Drosophila melanogaster: one gene and its partner. The protein of the gene in region 2 interacts with the protein of the main gene of each other region in a pairwise test. Each region holds a gene or a part of one and is shown on either strand. Other genes may lie near its edges.

What was found.
Region 1: the proteins of CG15706 (region 2) and cad interact in a two-hybrid assay, tested with the Drosophila melanogaster proteins (one large-scale study listed by BioGRID).

The regions. Positions count from the first base shown.
Region 1 is NT_033779.5:20,767,744-20,775,808, reverse strand, and holds the start of cad (caudal), read right to left. Parts: upstream 5,079-8,065; 5' UTR 4,702-5,078; coding exon 3,900-4,701; intron 1-3,899. UniProt on the Drosophila melanogaster protein: Caudal (cad) is one of a number of transcription factors controlling segmentation of the embryo.
Region 2 is NT_033778.4:16,223,626-16,234,398, forward strand, and holds the start of CG15706 (uncharacterized protein), read right to left. Parts: upstream 7,056-10,773; 5' UTR 6,719-7,055; coding exon of another isoform or gene 6,683-6,718; 5' UTR 6,453-6,682; intron 6,245-6,452; exon of another isoform or gene 6,155-6,244; coding exon of another isoform or gene 4,775-6,154; intron 4,706-4,774; coding exon of another isoform or gene 4,403-4,705; intron 4,335-4,402; coding exon of another isoform or gene 3,967-4,334; intron 3,180-3,966; exon of another isoform or gene 3,112-3,179; coding exon of another isoform or gene 3,018-3,111; exon of another isoform or gene 2,876-3,017; intron 2,628-2,875; exon of another isoform or gene 2,434-2,627; intron 1,702-2,433; exon of another isoform or gene 1,701-1,701; 5' UTR 1,543-1,700; coding exon 1,482-1,542; intron 1,291-1,481; coding exon 1,145-1,290; intron 1,085-1,144; coding exon 1-1,084. Other genes in the region: Tsf3 (transferrin 3), read left to right, coding at 3,018-3,111, 3,967-4,334, 4,403-4,705, 4,775-6,154; CG15701 (uncharacterized protein), read left to right, coding at 6,683-6,718, 7,153-9,252, 9,342-10,361; CG7786 (uncharacterized protein), read right to left, coding at 10,733-10,773.

The DNA of each region.
Region 1 (8,065 bases), on a different chromosome or scaffold from region 2:
GCGATTAACGTTGGCCACCGGCCATATACATACAAATCTTTCTTTCCGTTTTTGCTACCGTATCGTAAATGTTGTCACCTCATAAAAGGAATCGCCAAACGACTCGAAATTGAATCAGAATTCGCTGCCGCCTCCCACTCCACAATCATCAAGCCTTAAACTTCAATCAGTCAGCTACTCAATCATACAATCGCGGGTTGCCTTTGGCCTGAGACACTAGCAGGTGTCATCCGTCCGTCCGAGCCATCATCATTGCAACGTTTTGTGTTGTCATAATTCAGGCGGACCTCGTTGATTGACAATCGGATTTCCCTGTCACTTGGCCAAGTTGCCCCCCAAACAAAAGGCTTTCGCCTCGTTTTCCCGATACGAACTATGTACATATGTACATCGCAGTATTCCCATTATGGAATTATGGTTTATGGCGAACAGGAAACGTGGCTATAATTTACAGTTTCTGGACTCTCTCTTTGCTGTTTACTTTCATTGATAAAATAACTTGAGGCAAAGATTTCCAAATGGATTGTACAGTAGTTTAAATTAGTTTCCATGGTCTTTACATTCTACATTGTTTTATAATTCATCAAAATAAAATGCGCCAATTTCCATTAATAAATAACACATCGTCCGACACATTTCGCACCCATTTTGAACAGCTACCATTTTAATTTATCACTCCGTTGAGTAAGCTGTCCGTAACCCCAATTTAAGCCCCCGGAATCCCTAGCGCCTCCAATATAAACTCGATACGCCTCGAATGGTATATCAAAAACATGTACACGAAAGTGGAGACCTATGCGTATATGGACATATATACGGCTGTGTGCGCAGGGCTTTGGGACAAGACTCGAATTTCTGGTTATTACCAATATCAGGGCCAATACAAATAGAGCAGGAAAACCCAAACACGATTCTATTCTATTATTTGGACAACTAAGCCCAGAGCAAACGACACATTGGTAACAAGTCCGTGACAAACGGACAGGGAGATGGGACGGCCTGGCCAGCGAGTTCCAATGCTAATCCCATCATGTCAATCACCGATCCAAACGCACACTCCACGTAGATCAGTCGCAGCCAAAAATCGACTTCATTTTTGACCCGTGCAGGAGCGGAGGAGGAAACTTTGGACGGGTGAACGGGAAGGGTAAATGTCATCGGCAAACAGCGATAGTGCTGATAAGGAAACCGAACCAAACATATTTCCACTGCAGCTAGTGGCCATTTTCGATGGCTTATCTTGGGACCGGGAACGGTACTGGTACTCGGAGCGGGACCCAGACCAAAATCGGACCACAAAGGTATCCCATCCGCGCCGGTGGAGCAGTACAACACTTTTCAGATGCGTCGGGAAAGCAATATAAATCCAAGCCCGCCATATATTCCTTCTCTCTCTCTCTCTCTCTCTCTTTTTCGATTATTTATGTGGCTAGATATAAATTTTCTGTGCATATTGACACATTAAATCTCAATGTGTCAGGTGGCATTAGTTTTTATGTCCCAACACGGGCAATGCTGAAAATCTACAGACAATCCCAGTAAGAACTCCTTGGGCCCCTAGATACATTTGGTTCTCCGGAGAAATTATAACGACAATAAATTACGGACAGCTAATAAGCAAAAATGTATTGCTAAGTGCGTTCAATGCAATGAGATGTTGGCCAATCGAAGGATCAAAGAATGAGGAGCCTTATTTGGGCAACATTGGATAACTGATACAATTGGTTGGATACTTTAGCCAACTTTGGCAAACCAGAATTGTTGGAACTATCCTTTTCTGAACTATGGACACTTAAATTTCTTGCCGTTTAATAATGATTGCATAGATTTGATCGTAAATGTCGCTATTTAGTTTTTATTGGAAGTAATACTAATTTTTATTGGTTTACGACCCTATATTGTTTTAATCAATATGCCCGTCGCAAACGCAGCGGAATCGCTTATCAACAACGCTTTTGACGTTTTAGATAACACGCAAAGAACTCTTTTTTTTTTTTTTTTTGTGGCCACGTTTCCATATCACTCGGCACATTATTGAAGCAACAGAAAATAGAACTCGCAGCCCCATGGGTTGGGTGGGGTTTTCAGGACTTATTGACAGGGCGGGCGTTTATTTGATTCCCCACGCTAGCTAATCTAATCGAAAAACCCGCCCGAACCACCAGCCATTGAAACAAAAGTACACGGCATCTGCATCCAGCGACAATCGTGGTTGCCGTTTTATTGCCACACCCCGAAAGCTGAAGTGGGCCTTCGACGTGCCCTGCCGCCACATGCCGCCACATGCCGCGCAGACAACGGAAAATGGACCTTTTATAATTCTATCAAAAATCACGAAGTGTTAGTCACAGCCCCCCTCTTCTCTTCTGTTGGAAAAGGCAGATTACTAATTATTACTCGATTTGGCGAGACCATCAATTCAAAGAAAATGCCAGAGAGATAATACCTGAGCAAAGTGTTGGCAAAAGGTGCTGCTGATCGCTCATAGTGGCTGTAAATAATATCTAACTTTATTTTTATATAATATTTATTCTTACTTAAATATTTGTGCTTTTTAGGCAAATGAAATACGGCAAGAATTACAATCAGTCGCGCGTCAGAAAGGTGACATTCAGACAGCGGAGGCTAAAGGGGGTTTTGAATAATAATAAATAAGGCAAACTTGAGTCGCCTTGTCGGCTTGATCAGCTGGATTAGCGGCCATAAACGCTAATTGCATGCCAACAGATTTTATGGGCTTAATGGATATCGGCGTTATTGTCGATATCGTCGATATCGTCGTCTTCATTTTCCCCTTCTTGACATGCGCCCGGGTCATAAATCGTGAACAAATGTGTGAGTGGTTTATTCCTTCTCATGTTTGAGATCGCTGCACTGCCATCTGAATTGCCTTTGCTTGTTTTTCCAGAGGTGTAGGAAAACACAGCAAACAAAACGCAAGAAATCCACATAATCACAGAAAATTTGCATGAACTGAGAGAAGAGAGTCGAATTGGGTATTATTCACTTATTATTCAGAATATTCACTATTTTTAGAAAATAGTGAAACCTTCAATTAGACACTCCACATAATGCTAATTGCTGTGAAATAGGTTCCGAACTCCCTAACTTTCCTAAGCCTTTACAGTCCAGTCCTCTACTCTGATGGACTTTCCATCAAATGCTGTCTGGTTATTGGTAAGTTGATCAAACCATTTTCAAATGCTTATAGTTGTTAAGTTGATTTACGATACAAAATTAGTCAATGGAATCGGAATCGAGACGGAGACAGAGTGGAGCAAACAAACAGAAACACTCATGTGGACGGTGAACACGGGGTGGCCATAAATCAAGGCGTCGGATCGGGGATCTCGCGACCCCAACTGAATATCATAAAAGTGAAGCTTGAACAGAATTTGATTTTTATGAGCTAATTGGCCATTTGGACTTGGATGCGCGCCAGGCAAACGGATTCTTATAAAAGCCCATATATGTACCGTGAGAGATGGACAGGGAAAAGCGCGAACAGCACGAGCTTGGCGGGAAGACAATGCAGTGCATTATGTGCTGGGCAATATGGAATCTTCGGGTTCGGAATGTAGCCAGGCGGATGCGGGAGAAACCCAAGCGCAGGGTACGCGGAATCGAAGGTCAGTGGAATGACTAAGTAGCTGAATACACAAAAATTCGGGTAATCGAGGTCTTTCGGACTAAAAGCCTTCGGTGAGTAAGATCTTATTTCACATTCGATTAAAAAAAAAAAACTCATACAAGCTAGTGACAATGGCAAGCATAGACCTTAACTTTGCAGTAAAAGCAGGTTATTAGCCTTACTCATAAAGTTATGAAGTAACCGATCATACCCCCTCATAAAACACTAAATCTGTATTTAATATATTCTTGGGTCTCTAAGGACTCACCTGGTTGTGGTTGTGCTGGATAGGCGGGCTTCTTCATCCAGTCGAAGTATGGCGGCTTCGATGGCGATGTCCTGTTGTTGTTGCTCACCGAATTGTTATTGTTGTTGTTGTTATGGGTGGATGGGCTATTGTTGTTGTTGTTGTTGTTGTTGTTGTTGTTGGCGACGGCACTCAAATGGTGTGCCAAGTGATGATGCGGCGACGAGGCAGAAGTCGGCGCCCCCGGGCTAGAGATTTCCGAGCCCGAAACGGTAATCGGTGGCGACGGCAGACCTTCGGCGATGTGCTGCTGATGGTTGGGTGGTGCGGAACCTGGTCCTCCATCGGTGGCCCCGCCAACACCACCGCCACCGCCTGCTCCTCCGACGCCGATGCTGCTGTTGGTCTCGTTGAGCTGGGGCGCACCCGGTGCACCACCGCTACTGCTGCTCCCGGAACTGGCGGAACTGCTGGAGGCATGGGCGTGATGATGGTGGTGCTGCTGCATCAGCTGGTGGGCCGACGTGGGCACATTCTGAACGAAGTTATCCGCCGTGCTCGAGGCGGGTGAGTGCCACTCCCCGGCAGAGGCCGCCGCCGCCGAGTGGAACATGTGATGGGAGTTGTAGTACATCTGGTGGGCAGCGGCCGCGTGGTGGGCGGCATGCGAGGAGTCCACATCGCCCAGGAACTGGTGGTTCGGCGGCGTGTGGTGGTAGTTGGGCGTCCAGTTCCATGGCTGGCCCGCCGCTGAGGCATAGGCCAAATTGGCGGCACTGTGCTTTTGTGTGTAGGGCAGTGTGTTGTAGTAGTGCGAAACCATTTTGAGGTTAGATTAGGTGCGCTTTCTCCGAAGATAGTCCCAGTGCTCGGTCCGGTGTCCAATAATCCGGCGTTAATCTCTAAGTCTTATCACTTTGATGGCCAATATGTTTTAGTTGCACATTTTCTGGAGTTTCAGTTTGGGTTATAATGGATATATTTTGCTTTGTCAATCTTTACAGTTATCACTGGCTGGTGATGTGTTTTTTGGGAGCACAGTAACATACGACCGAGATATCGATAATATTTCGAAACGCTATTTTTCAGCACTCACTCACGAGATGGATTTTTGTTTTGCAGGGCTAATCTACTAATTTGAAATGTTATTCCGTGCGTGGCGACGTCAACTCAGTATGCAGGTCGAACACGTACTGAAACGTAGAGCAAGACTCGACTGATAAAAAACTCAAAGCAGTGGAAAATCAGATAAACAGGCAGAGAGGCTCAAAAAAAACAACCACCGCAGTCGGCACTCACTAGTTGTCTCTTTCTAGCGCACGAGCAGTGCCTTTACTTGGGCGTTTTTAACCCTCATTTCCGTTGCTCGGTCGAAATTCAAGATGGCCTGAGTGCTTGACTACCGCTATCTCCGTCTGTCTGGTGCTCCGTCTCTTTCGCACCGGTCTGCGATGGCTGGCAGGCAGGTGGCCACGCCCCATTGAGCCAGGTATGCAGTTTGTCGTAATATCTTGGCCAAGAAAACCCCTTTTCCTTTATGGCCCGCTTTCGATTTGTATGTACTTTAATTGCAATTGCCGTTGGCTAATTAAGTAATTGCGGAGATGCGTGTGTATTATGCAATTAGTGGCTGTAAAATTATGTTGCCACGGTCGTAATAGTCGCGATATATGTACCTCTATCTGGGGAATAATCAATGTTTTATCCTCCGGATTTTATTCTCCATATCCATATACCGTGTTTGATCTGCACACACTTGATGTCCAGACTTTTGGTGTTTGCCAAGCAATCGCTGTTTATATGGGCGCCTCGATATTGTCAAAGCACTATTGTTCGGTTCTAGTTGTAAAGCTAATGCCATAATTGACATGTAAGCAGCGATAAAAATTCGCAGGGAACTCAAATATAGCGGAAGAAGTCTGGCATTGATAAGGTGCAAGATGTGATACAAGGGGCTTATGTAAAAAAAAAAGATGGTACTAAAAATGAGGTGATCTTTTGACGGATCTATCATTTAATGTAAATCGAAAGTTTCCAGCTTCATTACCAAAAATATGACTAATCAATTTAAATTCCCATGAGAACTTATTTTCGATCAAACTTCGCTGGAAGTTTAACAAATGGGTGGAATTGAAATATCGATTATTATTTCATAACGACTTTAGCAAAAGTGTTACCCATTTCGTGAAGCAAAAGGCAAAATTGGCCCAATACGGTAAAGAATTAATAATATCAATAAACCCATTTACAAAACCTCCTCACTAACATAAAAACTAATAATTGAACGCAATTTGAATAATAATAAATAAATTGATTTATTTATAATTTATGACAGACACGCGTGTGATCATAAGATTGCAAACGCGCCTAATTATTATAATATATTGGCAATATAACAAATTCCAAATATTCATATTGTGGCATTAATTATAAAACTATACATGTAATATACCCTAAGATTAGAATGTGAAATCATTGTCCAATTATTTTCAAACTATCTGACTATAATTTTTCCTTACACAAAGGAATATAATATATTCATTGGAATAAGGTATAGTTGGTTAAACATATTCCTGCCTCACAAATTCCAGGTCAGCTAACACCATTCTTATTAATTTTTCGCAAGAATTTCGATACCACACAGCTACTCCCAATTGTAATCCCTAAAAAGAACGCTAAGCTCGCGCCGATTGAGTAATCCCGAGATTCCAGAAATCCTCTCTAAATCTGTAAAAAATAAATTCATTGATTGCCGCGATGTTCGATGCTCGGTATGGGATCGTAAAACTGCAAACTGCAAATGTCGCGTCAAATAATTAGAAGTGAATGCAGCTGACACAATGGAGGATAACCGACATATCCCCGAAAAGGACTCGGCGGAACACGGGAACAGAAGCACACCGGGCAGTTGGCCTCGCGAGGGAGGTACTCAATACTCACTTATTAACGCTGAACTACCAAAAACTGGTTCGGGTTCGTTTGCAAACAAAAAACCCCTTAATGTCCGTAAGACAAAACATGTTGTAAAACAATCGAAGGCCCGCGCACAAAAGGTGATTTTATGATTACGCGAACGCGATCGCTTTCGCCATAACCATCGCCATTGCGACCCAAAGACCAGAATACAGAAACCAGGATGCGATCGTAGAGGTCGCACGGGAACGAGGACACCAAACAAGGCCTGTAAGGTGGTGCTGATGCGTTGACCTGCCCATCGATCGGCCCATAAAATTCACACAACAATTAGGCAGCCACAGCCCAGATTTGTTTTTTCCTCTTTTTCGCAAACCGTCAACAATTCGGTGGAATTTACTGCGTGGGCTGGGCCTGGAAGGGTACGACCCGTGGGCTCTATAAGGCTGGGCTCCTCGTCTCATCCCAGGCACGGGCAAGTCATGTAACACGCCGTTACCTGGAAGTCATTAGGGGCGCACAAAAAGGCTAATCCCTAAGTGATCTATGTAAACATATGGTAACTCCCCCTGGGCGGCAAATTCGAGATGAATCATGAATTTTGGTCGTACAAACGCAAGATTTGATAGAAGATTGTAATATTTTTTCATCAAATAGAAAGTGTTGATCAATTACAAACATAATACATAATATTATAATATACAAACGTTCCCCGACGATTAGTTGAATCGAAAGCAGAGAATCCATTTCGAATTGCCCTTCCGGCAATGAAAGATTTATTTCAATCTGTAAAACACTCTAATGCATCTCTATCTGGCCATCGTAAATTAGAATCTGTCCCCGCCATTGACATTAACAACCTGCTACGAATTCAATGGTATTTATACATATTCCCTCAATTATGTTAATAAATCCATAAAGAAAGCAAAGCAAGCGCCATAGCCCATAAAGCAGACTCCGAAATAAAACTCAAGGGGCAATCAGACCATTACAGATATGTCCAAGTTCCAGTCCCGATCTAACAACCTATATCTGTGGCTTGGTGGAGCGTCGACGCCAGACGGATTTGAGTGTGGATGGATGGATATGTATGGATGGTAGACGTATCATTGTCGTGCGGCATTCGCTGTTTGTCGGTTCGTTTAACGTTTTTGAGAGTTTTACGGCCGTTTGCCGGGCCAAACCCCTCCAGAAACCCCTTCCGCCCACCCGCAACCCCCAGCCGATCCCGCAGCAAGTGCATTTTGCGTTGTACGAGCCGAGCAACCGCCTCC
Region 2 (10,773 bases):
GAGCATAGGTAATGCCCTGGAAAAAGAGCTCCACGCCCACCAGATACCAGGGATTGGGAATCCAGGCGATCAGCGACAGTCGCACAGCGTAGAAGAAAAAGCACATGCTCATGCAATGAACATAGCCCAGTTTTTTGATAATCTTTCCGCTGTAGAAGAAAAAGGGCACCTCGCCGGCCAGACACTCGGCGGCCACCACTAGACCTTCGATCAACTTGATCTGATGCATGTAACCAGTGGCCTCGGCCACCTGCTCCAAGTGCCAGAACATAAAGTATATGATGAAGGAGTCAATGATGCCAGCCATTGTGGCGAAGAACAGAAAGACCAGAATGGGTGGCTTGCGCACCAATTGCCAAACATCGCTCCAGATGGACTCGGAACCACCCAGTTTCGGCAGCTTCAGCTTGGACACACTGAACAGATCGAGCAAACTGAACACGCACATGATGATCAAGGCAGGCGTCAGACTTTTGACCGCATCCGTGGTCCACCAGTTCACTACGATTCCGGCTAGCATGGCAGTGGCTCCAAAACCAATGGTGCCCCACACTCGTTGTGCTCCGTACTTTTCCTGCTCCTCATCGCCCAGAAGGTCAAAGCAACAGGCATCGGATATGGAGTTTGTCACGTTGAAGCCAACGATTCCAATGCAGAGCAGGCATACGAACAGCCAGAACTTGCCAGCACCATAGATGCAGCTATTTACGTGTCGCACCTCGCAGGATGCACTGTTCCAATCGATGGCTGCTGGTTGCGTGAGACAGATGTGATAACTCTCGTTGCCATGAAGCAGATTCTGGTTGAGATTGAGGCCCGACTCGTTGGCAACAATTAGAGCGGAGAATTCGCCTACTTCCTTTTCTTCCTGAATGCATTTTGCCTGATGAGTGGTTTGACAAAATGCGTTGGAGGATTGGATAATGGTATTGCAATCGTTTGGATTCGTCAATAACGTTACATTCCATTGGGCACTTCCCTCGTCCAATGGAATGAAATGTGAGTTGTCGGGCAGGAAATAGAAGCCGGCGAAGGCCAGTGTCATGATGAGGATAAGGGAGATGAAGATGAACTTGCGCAGGCTCTGCAACAAAGATTATAGTTTAGTATTTATATTAATAGTTACTAGGCATATCAAGCTCACCGTGAAATAATCGGCTAGGAAACCCACCAAGGGTTTGGCTAAAACATAAAGTAGGGGCAAGGCGGCCGTAATATAGCCCATAACATCCGGTGGAACACCGATCTGCTTGCCGATCACCGACAATTGTGGCAATATGGGTCCCATGGCTAAAAGTTGACAATGTGCACATGAGTTTATAAACTACAATAATTTCCAAGAAATCTTTCTATAATTGCAGCAGATTCTCACATCATATATTCGATAATGTCAGCGATAAGAACATTTTGATACGAAAGAATCTCACGAAGTGCGAAATCGGCTTTAATTTTGGATTGTTAAGTTATAACTTTACACTCACCCGCCATGAAAAAGAAGAAATGTGCCTTGATGGGCAGCAGGCGCCTGTTTAATCGCACCATTGTGCAGTCTGTAAAATTATGGCTAGTGTATCACAGTTCGGATATATCCATGCAATCCTCTGGTTATGCCGGGTGAGATGTGGTTCCTACCCAGATAAGATCATAATTTTTCGCACGTCTTCGACTTCGCCGTTCGACGTTCTTAGGGAATCTGTCGTCTGGTGGATAGAGTGTTTAAATAGTCACAGCGATATGGATGTAAATCAGAGAATGCTAAACTATATCTAATCACATCGCGATAAGATGCTAGTCCAGACTATATAGCAGTCTGTAATCGTCTGCATAAAAGTTCTATTGAGATAGCCAAAGGGAGGGAGCATAACACTCCGGAACAACGAATCTTATCTTTTCGCACCAAAGTCGTTAGATTTTGTTGGAAAATTAAGACCGTATGTGCGATAAAGATTTTAGGGCCTGCCATAATAAATATGCCCTTGAGGCATGTCCAAGATTCCCCCCCCCCCCCCACTTGTACCAACCAACTCAATTAGTAATTTTCATATAACTTGCGATATTTTTTTTATACTTTGTAGATAAAAACCGGTTTGCGGTACCAAATCACTTGTTAACTTGACACAGAAAAAAATTGCTCTTTTGCCAAAGCCGAAATAACTTTCGTAGATTGATCATTAATCAAACACAATTTAGAAATCCCTAGAAATAACAGGGGAGTTACGAGAAGAAAAAAAAAACCCAAGGTGCGTGAATGATGCTAACTCAAGTTATAACCGGGAAGCCATAGAAATGCTTCACTTGACTACGTTAAGTTGTGATGAGCAAATGCTTTGAATACAATGAAATTGCACGAAACGTGTATAGTGCATATAGTGTTAATTAAGTATATTGATTATCTGTCGAGCAATTAGGTTCACGCGATTAAAATCCACCCACAAGTGACGATTTCCCAGAGATCAAGTTGAGTATATGGACGCCAAGAGCTGCGGTCAGAGACTGAGGCAAGCAAATAATGCCGAAAGGCATGCAGTTCGCATGGAAACTGATAAGTCAAGTTGGCCGATAAGGCGTTCGTTAATCATATGTTTGGTATATACAAACATAATTGATAAAGCGCTGGACTGGACAGCTGCTTAATGTATAGATAGGATTAATGTTTTTTTTTTTATATAGGTGATCCCCGCTTAGATTCTCACGCAAAAAGATACTAATCAATCAGAGAGCTATCCAAAAAACCCCGCCTGACTCATCATCAGCTGTGCGTAGCTGCTTTGTATTCCATTTATTATTTATTTACTGGCGATCTCGTTCTGCAGCCGGAGCTTACGGATTGCTCGGATCAGGTTTTACTCGCTGGCATCTGGGAGAGGGCTGCCTTCAGTTGCCGTCGATCTTCCAATGCGAGCGGTTCGGGCTTGAAGCCAACTAGTCATTGATTAACTAACCTAATCTCGACTGTTAGACGATCTTCAGTGAGTGAATTGACAATTAACAAGCAGTTGACGCAATCGAAGCTCAGAATGCAGTGGCTTACACTTATTTTGGTGGGGCTGTTTGCCTCGTTCTTATCAATATCGATGTGCGTGGCTGTGCAGCCGCCCGATGATGGAAAATGTAAGTCAATCAAAGATGAGGGGCGTATTGCCTTGTGTCTGGAAATATATTAATAAAAAGCATGCAAACTGCGTAAATTAGTAGACGAACTGTTGGCGATAAGTGATACATGAGCTTGTGATTGTAATTAAGATGTATCTTAATCATAAGCAAGTCTAAAGTTGCACTTAATATGTTAATTTTGAACATGCAACTAAATTCTGCTGAAGTTATGTTTGTTTACCAATCATTTAAGCCATTAAACTATGAAATATGATGCTGTAAAGGCCGACAGCAGCTGTTTACATTTCAAATATATATGATAACTTCTCAAGCAACAATGTTAGTCAATCTAAAAAGTGGTCGAGAGTAAAACTAAACTTTTTATTACAATTCCTACACATAAAAACCGTTTCAAAAACCACCAATCATCATGTATCTTTTAATCGAAATGCACTGCGAGAGAGCAGACGACCTTGCCACTCCACCGGGTGTAATCAAAATCCGCTAGAGACAGCCGTTCCAAAACCTGTCCCGACCTTGGAGCTCGTGATCCACTGCCCAAAAAGCGTCCGGGCAGAACTGACTTGTACCCAGTTTTGCACCATTAAGCGAATTCTGCGAATGCAGCGCACTTAATCAGGTTTTCCCCGACAACTGCGTTACCTGAGGGGAATTTTTAATTTAAAACAGACAAGTGAAATACCCAGCTCAAAGATAATATCTTTTCCGAAAAACTGCATGCGAAAGATACTTCAAAATAAACAAAATCATTATTAATGCGGCGGCTAGCGACTGGTTTTTCGCCGATCGTATACTAAGCAGATGTCCAAACTTTATGCAAAGATTTACTTGCTTCTCCTCCTCCTTCCGCAGTGCGTGTTTGTGTGGTGGAATCGCGTGGCGTTTATCGGAAAACCCCCAAGTTCTGTCCGCTGCTGGAGGCGAAGAGCAACATCGAGTGCGTCATCGGCGTGGATCGATTGGATTGCGTGAGGCGTATCCACAAGGGCACCGCCCACTTTGGAGTGCTCACCTCGGAGGATCTGGTGGCCGCACGCTGGGCCAGCGTTGAGATCCTGGTGGCCAGCGAGTTGCGCTCCCATGAGTCGCACTTTGAGTACGAAATTGTGGCGGTGGTGGACAACCACGCCAATATCCATACTGTTCATGATCTTCGAGGTGCAAGGCTGTGCCATCCTGGCTACGGTCTGGGCAATCACTGGACGGAGGTCCTGGCTAATGTAGGTCACCTCAATGGATATCTTATAAAAGTACTCCAATTTTGATTGTATATACGACTTCTTTACAGTACTTTGAAGCTGCCATGGTCTCGAAGACTTGTGATCCCGAAATGACCGTCACGGAGGATCGGATAGCATCCACAGCCAAGTACTTTGGTCCCAGTTGCAAGGCTGGTCCTTGGGTGCCCGATCCCAAGCAGGATCGCATCCTAAAGAACCGATATCCCTCGCTGTGCGAGATGTGCTACGAACCGGATAGCTGTGACCAGACCGACAAGCATTGGGGACGCCGCGGAGCTCTCTATTGCCTGACCAGTGGTGGCGGGAATGTGGCCTGGGCTCGTCTGGATGATGTGCGCAGTCATTTTGGTGTGAGTTTGAGGCATACAATCTTTGCGCACAAATATTTGTGAATAACCTTCTTTGACTATTTCTTTTAGTTCTCTGGCATTCCGGCCCAGTCGAATCCCTCGGACTTCAGCTATCTCTGCCCGGATGGTCATCTGCAGCCATTGAACGCCAGTCAACCATGTGTCTGGGTGGCCAAGCCGTGGCCCGTGGTGGCTGCCCGTCGCAGCCATGCCGCTCAAGTGCAGCGTCTCGTCACTGGACTCAATCATGATGAGCCAGATAGTTGGCAGAATGCGCTGCTTAGCCTGCTGGAGACATATCACGTTTTCACTGTGCCACTGGATAATGTGATAGCTATTGATGACTATCTGGACCAGGCCACCGCATTCCAGTCCGCCTACAGCTTCCCGGAATGCAATCCACCGCGTTCCATTGTATTCTGCACCACGTCCATCATCCAGCACATCAAGTGCTCCTGGCTGCAGGAGGCTTCTCAAGTTTATGGTGTGCAACCGAACATTCAGTGCGTCCGCACCATGGATGAGCAACAGTGCCTGGATAATACCAAGTTCAAGGAGACAGATGTGGTGTTGGTGGATCAGGAAATGCGCGTGAAAGCTCAGCGGGATTACAATCTAGTGCCATTGCTATACGAGTTCGCAGCGGATATGCATGATCGGTATGTGACTATTGCACTCGTACACAAGGATGCCAAGTTCGAGAGCTTTAGGGATCTCAAAGGAGCCAGAGCCTGCTTGCCATCCTTCGAGGGAGCTGCGCATTTGTCCGTTCAGGAGACTATTGTGAATGCGACTGGCAAGGTGCAATCGCTGCACTCCTACTTCCACCGCGACTCCTGTTTGTGGAATCTACAGAGCGGACGCAAGTGTCCTCTTCACTACCAGGGCGACGAAGGTGCTCTGCGTTGCCTTTCCGAGGGCGCCGATGTGGCCTTCCTCAGCTCGGATGTGTACAAGAAGTATGTCGTCGGCAATCTCACCTCAAATTGGTTGACTCCTGGAAATCACAAGGATTTCCGGGTGTTGTGCCCATACGGTGGCATTGAGAAGCGCTCCAACTTCGAGTACTGCTACCTGCATTGGACCACCCGTGGCCACCTGATGACGCACAACTCTTCGCTGACGCGACGCAATGAGATATATAACTCTTTGCGCGATATGGATCAGTTGTTTGGTAGAAAGTACAAGAGTGAGACGCGTCCATTTACCCTATACGGCATCTTCGATAAAAGGAACAATGTGTTGTTCCGTGACGACACCGATGGCCTACTGGGCCTCCAGGAGCTGCACCGCGACAATGCCAAGCGGGTGATGGAGCACATCTACGATCGGTATGCCAATACCCAGTACTACAGGAATTTCGACGAGAGTGGAGCCATGAAATCCAGTCATAACTTATGGATATTGCTTGTCTGCTTATTATTTGTAGTGGGTCAGCCGTTTGGCTAGACCCGAGCTCAACACTAATCTTATTTATTGTGATATTACGCTAAACTTAAGTTAAGAACAACAATGGCTTCAAAACGAGCTTTATCACCCAAACGGACTTTTTGAATTTCAAAAAGAGCGGCTAGTGTCGATAGAAAAATATCGGATGGGCAATCGATAACATTAGCTAATTAAAAGTTGTTGAAGTTTAAAATGCATTTAATAAGCTCAGAGCTCTATGCTCCTAATTAAAGCATAACACTGCAAACGTTGCAAACAAATAACTAAATTTAATGAAACATTTTTTAATAATACCTACCAGTTGCATTTAAACATGCCAGCCCTTTTCAGCACTGTCGGATCAGCTGATTGTGTTATTGCTGGCCTCTTTGTTGTTGCTATGTACAAGGATTTGGTTGCCAGGGAAACAGGAAAAAATGTCACAACTGAGCTGCATTACGATTGATTAAATTTACGTGGCATACGGCATTTACTTCTATTAATTCGCAGCTTAATTAAGCACTTTAAACAGCATTTATTCCTTCTAAAATGTCAAAAAATGCGGGGCGAACCAGCAGCAAAAACGTAAGCCCAAAGAAAGGCACTTGAAACGAAGAATATATACATATATATCAAAAGCACAAATATATAGTACACCTTTCCATTGATTGGCAGCCAACAGCGATTTCACTTATTTGCACAGCAAATTTGCATTTCACTCGCTCACAAAAACCAAACCAACGAACTTTTTAACATTTACACCTGTCGCACAGTTAGATTAGCAGCTTAGTTTTCGAGTTAATGGCAATTAAAGCCTTATTGCCCAATAGCACACACATTAGCATTTTAATAGCGCAGCACATATGGAATAGCATTCAATTAAAACTAATAAACGAACCGATCGCCACACAAAAAAAAAAACAATATGTTAAGATTGGGTCAGTGTTGTAAAATGCTAAGAAATAGTGCTGAGCACCCCGACAAGACGTTATGATTTCAAAAATCTTTTCGAATTGCAGGTCAAAACGGAAGTGCCAAGGAAGGTCACTAAATCACCAGCAACAAGTGGACCGGCCACCACAAGGGAATCGAAGGAGCGGAGGTCACTGGCCAAACAACCGGATAGCTTGGAAGGTGAAAAAATTGCGAGGAAAACCACAACAGCAGCGCAACCTACGACCGCCAGCAAAAAGCCATTAGCCACGGGGAAAAACAAGGAAAGGGAGTCCTTGAGCAAGAGGACCACTCCGTCCCCAGGTGCATTGCGTGCCACCACCAGACACACAACCACGACCACAAACCCACCCCTGCAGTCCAAGACCACCAAGACCACGAAGCTCGTGGCCAAATCGAAGCCCAATGCAGTTCTGGACACGTATCACAGTGTTACGGTCGCCTCGCCACCGCAAAAGCGCAGAGGACAGGCGGAGCAGGAGAAGGAATCGCCCACGCCTTCATCAAAAGAATATTCCCCTGTTGCACAGACTCAAAAGGAGCACAAGCCACAGTCTCCTTCCAAGGGAGATGCTCGTATTGTTCCGGCAAGATCCAGAACTTATACACGCACCTTGGATCCCGAGGAAGTGGTTATCCTTAAGCGTGAATCCGCCAAGCAAAGAAGCGAAGTGGAGGCCAAGGAATCAGAGCCTGTGAAACAGCCAGTGGCCTTTGAAGTCAAATTCGATGAAGCCAAAAAGCCAGAACCGGAATCCGATCACTACTCCGATGACTTCGAATCCTATGAATCGGATTTCGAAACCGATGCCAGCACGCCCGACGAGGTGGAATCCGATGAAGCGCAGGAGCCCTCATCCTCCGAGGCGGAAGTGGAGGAGGAGCGGGAGGAAGAGGATTCGGAGCCCACCCAAAATCCCATCACTGTGATCCAACGCGACAAGGATCAAGAGCGGAAATTGGACTCCGGTCATTATGACATGCATTTGCGCAGGAATCCCTTGAGCAGTCTGTCCACGCAGAATCAGTATGATAGCTTTGATACCAACTCGATGGCCAACTCAGAGCAACTGGACTCGGGCATTAGCACCACTGGCGTGGAGAAGCCCCGGAGTGGAGAGGCTAACGTGTACTATGGTGGCTACTCGGGATTCGTTTCCCATCCCGTGATCAGTCGTCGCGGCGAAGAGCTAATGGCCAAATTGCGTTTCGATCAACTGAACTACCACCTGTTCGAGATGAAGCCCCTCAGCTACGAGGGATTCATGCAGAGCTATGGGAAGCTGAATGCCAGTCAAGTGGCCACACAGACGCAGTCACCACACATGGACGGCGAGTGCCAGACGCTGGAGGTGCACAGTCGTAGCAGCTGGACCCAACATCCACCCCACTATGGTGGGCAATTCGTTCTCAGCTGCAGTGTCGATGCGGAGTTGGATGAAACATGGAGCAAGCAACCTGCAGATGAATACGAAGCTAGCATTTCTCGATTGGAGCAACTGCATCGCCTGGAGCAGGCACGCTCCCAGCAACTGCAGCAAAAGAGATTGGCCAAGAGCACGGATCTGGAGCGACTGAATTCGTTTCTTCACAGGGCCGGCAGACTTATGGGACTGGTTTTGGAGGGCAAAACCACGGCCCACGGCCAGGGGAATAGTCCTCGAAATGTACCACTTCAGACGGGACTGCTGAACGCACTGCCTGTGCGTCGAATCTTTGGAAGTGCCGGAAATGGACAACTGGTGGTCACCGTGCACGAGTGTCCTGCGGACAGCAATGTATATAAGGAGGACTTTGCCAGCCTTCTGATGGTGTGGTCACTGGCCAATCCCAGCCAGCCGTTGCGCCTGCTCTCCACCTGGGCGGAAGTCAGCCGTGTGGCACTATCTGCGCAGGCCCAGGATATCGTGGTGGCCGGACTGAGAGATGGTAGTGTGGCTATGTGGGATTTGCGCGAGACGCACAGCTACTGCTCCAAGTTGGATGGCCACCTAACCCATTTTGCAGCCACACAATCGGTGGTTCCCATGCCGGAGCAACAGGACAAGGAGGTAAATGCCATGGATCTGGGCGCTGTGGTGGATGTGCGCAGCTTTAGATCACACTTGAATGCTGGAGGAGTAGCTGCGACTAGTGGTTTGCAGACGACGTACAAGGAAGTTCAGGTAGGTTTTATTGTAGTATTCATTTATAAATTCTATGTAAAGATCTATATGAATACATATAATTAATTATATATGCAATCCTTTGACAGTACGCCTCGCTGAATGACTCCGGCCTGCTGACCATGTGGACCCTGGTGGAGGGCGCCTCGTCCACCAACAGCAACGAGTTCAGTTCGCCGTGGGCGCGTGTGAAGCTACTGCAGAGTGGCAGCTGTGATCTGAGGAGCTATCTGGAGCGACGCCTCCTGAAGAGCCATCAGAGTGCGTACGAGAAGACCAAGTCCCTGTTCCAGGGCAACATCTACAGCGATGATGTGCTGCGTGAGCTGAATGACACGCAAACGCTGACCACGGCACTCCAGGGACAGGGATTGCAGGGCCTGCGCTTCACCAGCATCGATACGGGCAGTGAGCTCATCTATGTGTGCACCAACCGAAACTTTGTGCTCTGCTGCACGCGTAGTTTGAAGACGGAACGCTTCGCGAGGATCGCCGTGAACGAAAGTCGTTTCCTGTTTCCCACCTCGTTGTGTGTGCTCTCCAATGAGAACTATGTGGCCGTGGGTCTGTCCAATGGATCTGTGATGATACTCAACTGCAATCAGCGACAGAGGCAGCGCCAGAGGAATCAGCAGAGACCCAAAACAGGACTTCCGCCGGCCACGGATGAGCCCGATCCCGAGACGGGCAAATCGTGTGCCATTCAAAACATCATACTCAACGAGCGTAGATCATTTGACCAGCAGATGGATGACAATCCCACGTACGATGCCCGACCCAACACAGCTCTGGAGCTGATTGAGCGACCCAGGCGTTCCTACGAAATGAGGGTCTTTGACCAGCAGCTGCTCCTAAGTGGCAGCGGTCTGCGCCAGCATCTCGTCCAGGCCCTGATCCTCTCCAGCGACGGCTGGCAGCTTTCCGCCCTCACCAATGGCACTGTGCGTCACTACGATTTCTATCGCGACAGAGAGTTACCCGTGGAGGAGCTCATGGACACACGCCTCAAGGTGACGGACATTGCCGGTGCTCGAAGTTGTGGACAGGAACAGGTTCTGCTCATCCTGGACTCGACTGGAAAGGTGCAGTCGCGCACTCTGGACTACTAGCTTGTTAAATATTTTCTAATTATTTGTATGCGTTTGTTGAAATCATTTTTTAAAATGAAATAAACTCGAACTAGTCCTACTCACTTTTAATCAATTTTAATGGTTTCTATTGCACAATTTGTGATATATAAATGATATATATATGACTTTATAGAACTATAGTACTAGCACTAGCAAAATACTCTATATAGATGGGCCAATATTTATATATCTGAATAACATATTTTTTTAAGGGACACCTGCATATGCATACATATATTATTAGAATATCCTTAGTATTTATTTTAAACATTTATTAACATCAAACTAAATAATCTCACTAGCTTCCCTCATTGATATGTACACTTTTCCATCTGATCCCGCAGAGTGGTTCACACCTGCCTGGCCATGGACAACATGCCGCCGGCTGTTG